Linked DNA regions of Mus musculus. The protein of the gene in region 2 interacts with the protein of the main gene of each other region in a pairwise test. Links are inferred from orthologs where the notes say so. Each region holds a gene or a part of one and is shown on either strand. Other genes may lie near its edges.

What was found. The genes of interacting proteins can lie anywhere in the genome.
Region 1: the proteins of Dazap2 (region 2) and Tle1 interact in binary tests that used the Homo sapiens proteins (3 or more experiments, as listed by UniProt). The link is inferred for Mus musculus from reciprocal best matches to the Homo sapiens genes DAZAP2 and TLE1.

The regions. Positions count from the first base shown.
Region 1 is NC_000070.6:72,120,894-72,124,393, reverse strand, and holds part of Tle1 (transducin-like enhancer protein 1), read left to right. Parts: intron 1-1,902; coding exon 1,903-2,050; intron 2,051-3,500. UniProt on the Homo sapiens protein: Transcriptional corepressor that binds to a number of transcription factors. Inhibits NF-kappa-B-regulated gene expression. Inhibits the transcriptional activation mediated by FOXA2, and by CTNNB1 and TCF family members in Wnt signaling.
Region 2 is NC_000081.6:100,614,219-100,618,664, forward strand, and holds the start of Dazap2 (DAZ-associated protein 2), read left to right. Parts: upstream 1-1,443; 5' UTR 1,444-1,493; coding exon 1,494-1,506; intron 1,507-1,831; exon of another isoform or gene 1,832-2,104; intron 2,105-2,694; coding exon 2,695-2,813; intron 2,814-3,706; coding exon 3,707-3,952; intron 3,953-4,446. UniProt on the Homo sapiens protein: In unstressed cells, promotes SIAH1-mediated polyubiquitination and degradation of the serine/threonine-protein kinase HIPK2, probably by acting as a loading factor that potentiates complex formation between HIPK2 and ubiquitin ligase SIAH1.

The DNA.
Region 1 (3,500 bases), on a different chromosome or scaffold from region 2:
TCATTCCACTTGGAAGCACATGGGCCTCTGATTGGCTTCTAGATCCTTGCTCTTCCCTCAGCAGCTAGTCTGCTTCCATTTAATGCACATACTAGAGTCATTCCAGAAACTATTTCTAAGAGTAAGCACTTAAGTCAAATGTAGCCAACTTTTGGGAGGTAGAAATTCGGATTTTAAGATAAGGCTGTCTGTACCTCTGTCCTCTCTACTTTATAGATGAGAGCCGAGGCAGAGAAGTTCCTTGTCTCTAGTCCTTTAGTCAGGCCTGCCATTCTGCTGGTGCTGGCTCTCTGGAGTCATGTGTGTGTGTATGTGTGTGGGGGTGGGGTGGGGGGCCGTGTTTTAGCCTGGACTGGCCATGTGTGGCCAGTGGCTGCTCTGTGAGAGTCCTGTATCTTCTAGGACACAGCGTATTCTCAACAGTCAACAGCTTGACAGTCACTAGGACATGCATGGAGGGCGAGGCTGGAGGAGTGCTGATTGTTCACAGGGAGAGATGTTTGGAATAAAGAACTAATAACTCTTTGAGTTGAAGGAGGTGATAAGTCAGGATGAAAGATAAAAGTTGTAACAGTTGTTTGAATAGACAAAAGGAAGAAAGGTACAACAAAGACTCCTTCATTCCAGGTGATCATGGAGAGGCCAGGTAGCACTCTTGAGGTCCACTTGCTGGGCATCAGCAGGGAATTCTGGCCATGCGGGAGAAGGGGACTGGTAGGGACAGGAACTAATGTAGGGGTTGTGCTTGGGAGGGAAAGGTTTCTGGCTCATATCTTGGCTAAGAATTCAGGGCAGCGATGGTAATTTTTTTTTTCCCTTTCACTTTCAAATTCTAAGCTTGGTGCTCTGTGGTAATAGGGGATGGGGGACCTTCTTGACATTGACGTTTCTAAACAGTTCTATTCTGGGTCTTTCCTGGTTCTGAAGGTGGGTCCTTACCTCTCTGATCTGCCCTGGCGAAAGCGTGCTCAGCATGTAGAGTCAAGTTTCTGAGAGTCACTGCATCACACACACACACATACACACACACACACATCTGCTCAGCATGTAGAGTCAAGTTTCTGAGAGTCACTGCATCACACACACACACACACACACACACACACACACACACACACACACACCATCTGCCAACCCCAGACCCCACTGTGCTCATGTTCTCTCCACTGAACTGACTTTGTTGCCTCATGCCCTTCCAGGGGTCAGAAATCCTTGCCACCCAATTGATTAGGGATGCCCTTTGAACATGGTGTGAAGGTCCCGTGTAAAGAAAGCCTTGTACTGGGGCTGGGAGCTGGCAAGTGTCTGTCCTCCTCAGTACTTTTCTTTGTCTCTACCTAACTCCTCTGAGGTCAAGAGGCCTGCTTGACCCTTGGTCTCTGGGAGTCCACATTTTCTCATGCAAGGCCCTTGATGATTCAGAAGGGCTGAGTTCACACTGTGCTAGCAGGAAGGGCCCTACTGGAAGATTATCTTCTAAATGAATGTGTTCTTGGAATAAGCCTTTGACTTTCTGTGGGTTCAAGCCTTGGCCACTGAAGGACTGGTCTTTATCTTTCCTTAAGGAAATTGGGTTTTGTGTGTTTATCTTTATTGTCTCTTAGTACTTAAATTCTTTTCCAGACCAGGGAAGAGTTTCACTGGGTCTGTTTATCAAGAGGCCATAGGATACCTGGCTTCTGGCAGCATCCTGCAAGCCAGTCCATTTCTTTAGGCCTTGGATCTTGAAAAAGGAAACAGAACCTGCAGGGGCTGTTTCCTGTGCTCCTCAGGGGAAGGTTACTTTGATACTGCACACCAACAAACACTGACATGACACAGTGAGTCCAAAACCAACAACACAACAGTGTTTACCTTGAGCTCTGGCAGGAAATCATTATTCAGTCTGGTTTGTTTTATCAGGCAATTCCAGGGCCACACAGACGGAGCCAGCTGTATTGACATTTCTAATGATGGCACCAAGCTCTGGACAGGCGGTTTAGACAACACTGTGAGGTCCTGGGACCTGAGAGAAGGGAGGCAGCTGCAGCAGCATGACTTCACTTCACAGGTGAGTGCTTGGCTCTGGCCTGCTGTGGAGTCAGAAGGGGTCTGTGGATCGGTCTCCCACCTCAGCATCATGCAGGGTACCATGATAAGCAAATGTGTTTAAAACCATAGACATACAACACACACACACACACACACACACACACACAAACACACACACGCACACACACAGGGGATGGTTACAAAGAATCCTGTGAGTCAAACCATGTTGAGATGCTTTATGTACACGTGGTTTTGGTGAAAGGAATTTATACAGTAGAGAATATACAGGTTTTCTTCAGCAGGATGCAGTGTTGTGTATATTATCACCATCAAATGCAGAAGGAGAGTGAAATGAATGTTAATTTGTTTCAAGGAGTCTAAGAACATGTGGATACCCATCTCCTTTCTTAACCTTAAAAAACAACCATGTTGAAGTCCCAACACTGAGGGGGCAAGTGGACTCCTAACCAAGAAGCTATTTGCAGTTGATACCCACTGGTAATGGAAAATCAGTTTTCTCCAGTGGAGGGTCATTAGGTACCTCTACTACCCTCTGGGCAGGCCCCATACCTCAGAATAATTGACCAACATAAACTCCATGGGGCATTGGGAGATAGGGGGCTTTTTTATGTTCTTTTGTTTGCTTTGGGGTTTTTGTTTTGTTTTTGTTTTTGGTTTGTTTTGATTTGTTTTTTTTTTTTTTTTGACTTACTGATGTTTTTCTTGTTTGTATGTTTGTGATAGAAGGGCAGGAGAGAGAATATAAAGGTGGTTGGGTAAGAAGGTGGGGGAGGGGACATGATTAAGATATATAATCATGATCAACTAGATCTATAGAAGGCTTTTGAGGCTTGACTCTAACGCAAGGCAGTCCTACTACTTCAGCCTCCACAATACTAGGATTAAAGGTGTACACCACTATGACTGAGTAGAGTTTTAAAATAATATAAAACCATACAACTTTTGGAGAATGTAGACTTATTTGGCAGAAGCAGTTCTCGCCCTTTACTGGTGTCTTCCTCTCAGTAAAGTTGTCCTTCTGTGTATTACTCACCCCCCGCCCCCACTTGCTCATGATATGGTTTTTTCTTTAAAGGTAATAAAAACTTAAAAATCGGGTAAAAATGGAAAATAACTACATATATTGTTTTAATTTCCTTCTGTTCCTCTGATAAGATATGACAGAAAGCAACTTAGAAGAAAAATAGTTTATTTAGTTAGCTATTCCAGATCACAATCCATTGTTGTCAGAAAATCACATTGCCTCCATAGTCAAGGGGCAAAGAGGAAGGAAGTACTCACACATGCTGGTACAATATCTGTGTTCTTTTCATTCATTCCAAGGCTTAGCCTGTGAAGGGGTAACACAAACGTGGTGGGTCTTCCCATTTCAAATAACCCAACTAAGAAAACATTTCACAGGCTTGCCTACAGGCTGACCAATCCAGGTAACTCTTCATTGAAATTCT
Region 2 (4,446 bases):
CCTTTAGTTAGCGCAGCCTAGTTAGGGGATGCTCTGTGTGCTGACAGGAAACCAAAATGGAAATACTGACCCGGAACCTGGGAGGCCGAACACAAAACTCAAGTCTGTAACCTGTCCTTTAGATCAGTTTTTCTTTTCTTCTCGAATGTTTATTTTTATATGTGTGTCGGCGTGAACCCATGACACTCATGCGCAGGTCCCCAGGCTGAACTAGATCAGCCTCTCAGGCTGCTGTGCTTGCCGACTGGACGAAACTGCATTTACAGGACGCCACGCAAACTGTTAAATAGACACCTGACACACAAGCAAGGCCTTCGGTGTCGGACGAATCAGGAGTCCGTTCACCAAGGACCTCTCCCTCCAAAGCCTGCCCATCTACTTGACCACGCACAACACGAACTTCTGCAGACAGCTGCGGCGGTCGGTTCCTCTGTGCATCTATGAGAGCGCGTTCGGTTGCTCAGCAGATATTCTGGAACGAGGAAACGGGAAAAAATGTGATCACTGTCCTAAGAGACGTCGTCGCTACTCTTCTGGACAACTGAGCGCGGGCTAAACCACTCACAACATCTGTAGGGAGTTTTCAGGTCCCCGTAGGACGTGCCAGGCCAGGGTGCAGGTGCTGGCTGCGTCCCCTCAGCTTGTGCTGGGGCACGGTCTATCTCAGGACAGGGGGCGGGGCGCGGGGACACGGTCCATCTCCGAGCACGAAGCCAGGCGCTGGGCCCTCAACAAGAGGCCTGGAAGGACCAGAACGGCGGACAGGCTAAGGTCTGAGGTCTGGGCTGCGTCTCGCAGGCACTGTGGAGTCGTGACAGCCTGTGTTCACACCTGAATTTGGTGAGCAGAGGCGACTCACAGTGAGGAAGTCGCCCTGAGATGAGCTGACTCCGCTTTCTTTAGGGCGGGGCCGCGCAGAAAGGAGGAGCGCGCGGTGAGGGAGGGGTCGCGCAGGGAGGGCGGGGCCGCGCAGAAAGGAGGAGCCCGCGGTGAAGGCGGAGCGTTCAGGGAGGCGGGGCTAGCGGTGCGGTGAGGGCGGGGCCGCGCGGGAAGGAGTGGCTCGTGATAAGGGCGGGGCGCACGGTGAGAGCAAGGACCGCGGTGAGGGCGGGGCCGCGCAGAGAGAGCAAGGAACGCGGGGAGAGCGAGGAGGGCGGGGCCTCGCAGGGAGGGCGGGGCAATTAGTGAGGGCAAAGCGCGCGGTGAGGGCGAAGCCGCGCAGGGAGGGGCGGGGCCGAGCCCAGAGGAGGCGCGCGCCGTGAGGGCAGAGCGCGCGGGGAGGGCGGGGCTTCCGAGCAGAGCAGGGCCGCGAGCGCCCTCCTTGCCGCGACTGGCCGGCCTGCGAGGGGGCGGGGTTTCCGGCGGCGGCGCACTCGGGCATCTCCTGACGCAGAGTGGACGAACGTCACGTGACACGGAAGTGACTCCGAACAGGAAGAGGACGAGAAAAATAACCGTCCGCGACGCCGAGTGGGAGCGGACTCAGAGCCACCATGAACAGCAAAGGCAAGGCCGGGAAGTGGCGGGGGCCGTCGGGGAAGCGGGCGGGTTCGGGTCGAGCGGGCTGGGGGACGTCGGGCCTGGGGCGGTCTGTGCGGCTCTCTTCAGCGGGCCGCACAGCGCGGCCGCACCTGACGTGGCCGCCCCCCTCCACCCCCACAACGCAGCCGCTCGGCCCTCTGGGCCCCGACCCCATAAACCGTGTGGCGCAGTTTGGAGCCGCGGGCTCCTGTGTGTGGGGTGGGGGGGCTTTTCCGTGACGGACAGCGGCTGGAGCGAATGGCGAGCTAGAGCAGGGATTTGGGGAAGCCAATGGAGGGCGGGCGGAGGCGGGGCGCCGCGCCTCGGAACAACAGGCCTCGGCCGAGCTTAACTGCTGAGGTGCCGGCTCCGCTGCACGGCCCAGGCCCTCGAGGACCCGTTCTCGCCCGCCGGGGACTTCTGGCGCTTCCTCCTCGGGGCCCGGACTCGTAGCCGCCCCTGTGCGTTGCTAATGTTTGTGAGAACATGGTCGCGTTCCCCACCCCTCCACCCGCCGCCCTTCTCACGGTTAACTTCCAGTCACTCACTCTTTGGAGGTCGACCTTGACTAGGAACCCGTGAGGTAAACACTGAGAACCGTGGGTCCCACAGAGTCAGGACTGGTTACAGCACAGCCCGGGGGAGATCACCCAGAGGAGTCCCCTAAGACACCAGCAGTCCGGAGACCCCGGAACGGGTCCTCAGACCTGCCCTCTATTCGAAAGGGAACATGGCCAAGTTAGCCTCCATCAATCAGTATGCTAGTGGGAACGGCGCCTTCTGCCCAGTCAGAAGCCAGCACCTTCGGGCGCGAGGGTGCCGAGACCATCCTTATTTTCCTGGCTCTAAGAAATAAGGCAGCCTTATTTGCAGCTCTTCTGCTTGCTCCCCACCCTGTGCACCCTGGCCCGTCTAGTAGCTCTGCTTACAAACTTGTTTTTATTCAAAGTGTGCCTGCCTCTGCCTGTGTAAGTGTCTGTGAGTGTGAGTGTAGGTGCCCACCAAGGCAGAAGGTAGCGTTGAAAGGAGGTTGTGTCATATGTGGGTGCTGGGAATAGAACTGGGGTCCTCAGGAAGAGCAGCACTTTGTCTCACACACTGAGCATCTTTCCTGTTTGCCACCTCCCCTCCTAATCTGACAGACAACATCTCTCCTCCCCTTTTGTATTCCAGGTCAATATCCAACACAGCCTACCTACCCTGTGCAACCTCCTGGGAATCCAGTATATCCTCAGACCTTACATCTTCCTCAGGCTCCACCCTATACTGATGCTCCACCTGCATATTCAGAGGTACTGCAGTTTCCTAGACTTGTAGCTAGTTGAGAACACTCTTGGATCCCCTTGTTAAGTCTTCAAATCTGACTTCACAAGCAGAAGGATGCTCTGTGAATCATCTAGAACTTAAGGTGAAAATTACCATTGGAATTGAATGCAGTATCTGATTATGCTATTTGACACATGCTGACTTAAGCTGAGTTTGGGTCCCTTGAGCACAATAGTAGCTGTGGACGCAAATGACTCAGAATACTGTGTGCCAGTGACTATAACCAGTGTGTAATCTGCAAACACAAGAACTAGGAACAAGGGGCTAGAGAGATGGCTCAATGGTTAAGAGCACTGCTTTTCCAGAGGTCCTGAGTTCAAATCCCAGCAACCACATGGTGGCTCACAACCACTGGTAATGAGATCTGACACCCTCTTCTGGTGTGCCTGAAGACAGCTACAGTGTACTTACATATAATAAATAAATCTTAAAAAAAAAAAAAAAAAAAAAAACAACTAAGAATGGACTCATGAGCCATGCGTGGTGGTACAGGCGAGTAGTCTCAGCATTGAGAGGCTGAGTCAGGAGGAAGCTGAGTTCAAGGCTGCCAGTATAACCAAACCCCATTTCCAAAACCAAACAAGGGGCTGGGGATGTACCTGATTTGGTAGAATGCTTGCTTAGCATGCACCAAGCCCTAGATTTGGTCCCTAGCACAATGTGAACTGGGTTTGGTGGCACAGGCTTCTAATTCCATAGTCAAGAGGTAAAGCAGGAGAGTCAGGAGTTCAAGGTCATCCACTCCTACATACTTGAAGGCTAGCCTGAGCTACAGGAGATGGTCTCAATAATACTTAAAGAGATTCCAAATAGGAATGTCACAAAAATAATGTTTTGCTTTCTCTTCTGCTTCTTTCAGCTCTATCGTCCAAGCTTTGTTCATCCAGGGGCTGCCACAGTCCCCACCATGTCAGCTGCATTTCCTGGCGCCTCATTGTATCTGCCTATGGCCCAGTCTGTGGCTGTTGGGCCTCTAGGCTCCACAATCCCCATGGCTTATTATCCAGTTGGTCCCATCTATCCACCTGGCTCAGCAGTGTTGGTGGAAGGAGGGTATGATGCAGGTGCCAGATTTGGAGCTGGTGCCACTGCTGGCAACATTCCTGTGAGTATGCCTAACTGGGAGCTCAGCCCTTGTATACTTGAACAGTCTGAAATGACTTCATATTCATTCTCCAACCATAGTGGTCAGGGCTGGCACAGCTGCTGCCCTCTCAGAGCAGAAATGTGGCCGGGCCAATCAGGGCATTGGACACAGCCCTTGGTTTTAGAGTTAATCAGGTTGATTTGTTTTCTTGTCTTATTAAATTAGTGGCATCTTCCTTTGATCCTAGCACTTAGGGGCAGAGACAGGGGGATCTCCGAGTTTGAGGCCAGTCTGGTCTACAGAGCGAGTTCCAGGACAGCCAGGGCAACATAGAGAAACCCTGTCTATAAATTTAAAAAGACTGCTAGCTCCTTTTTCAGTTGTTCAGGCACAGTGAACTGGTCCAGGGGTGCTGCTTGGTGAGTTCATAAGCATTTAATATTTGCCATGAGTGGGGAATGTACTAGGAACCCAGATGATTAAGAAAGTAGAATGCACGGTCCCTAGTAAGT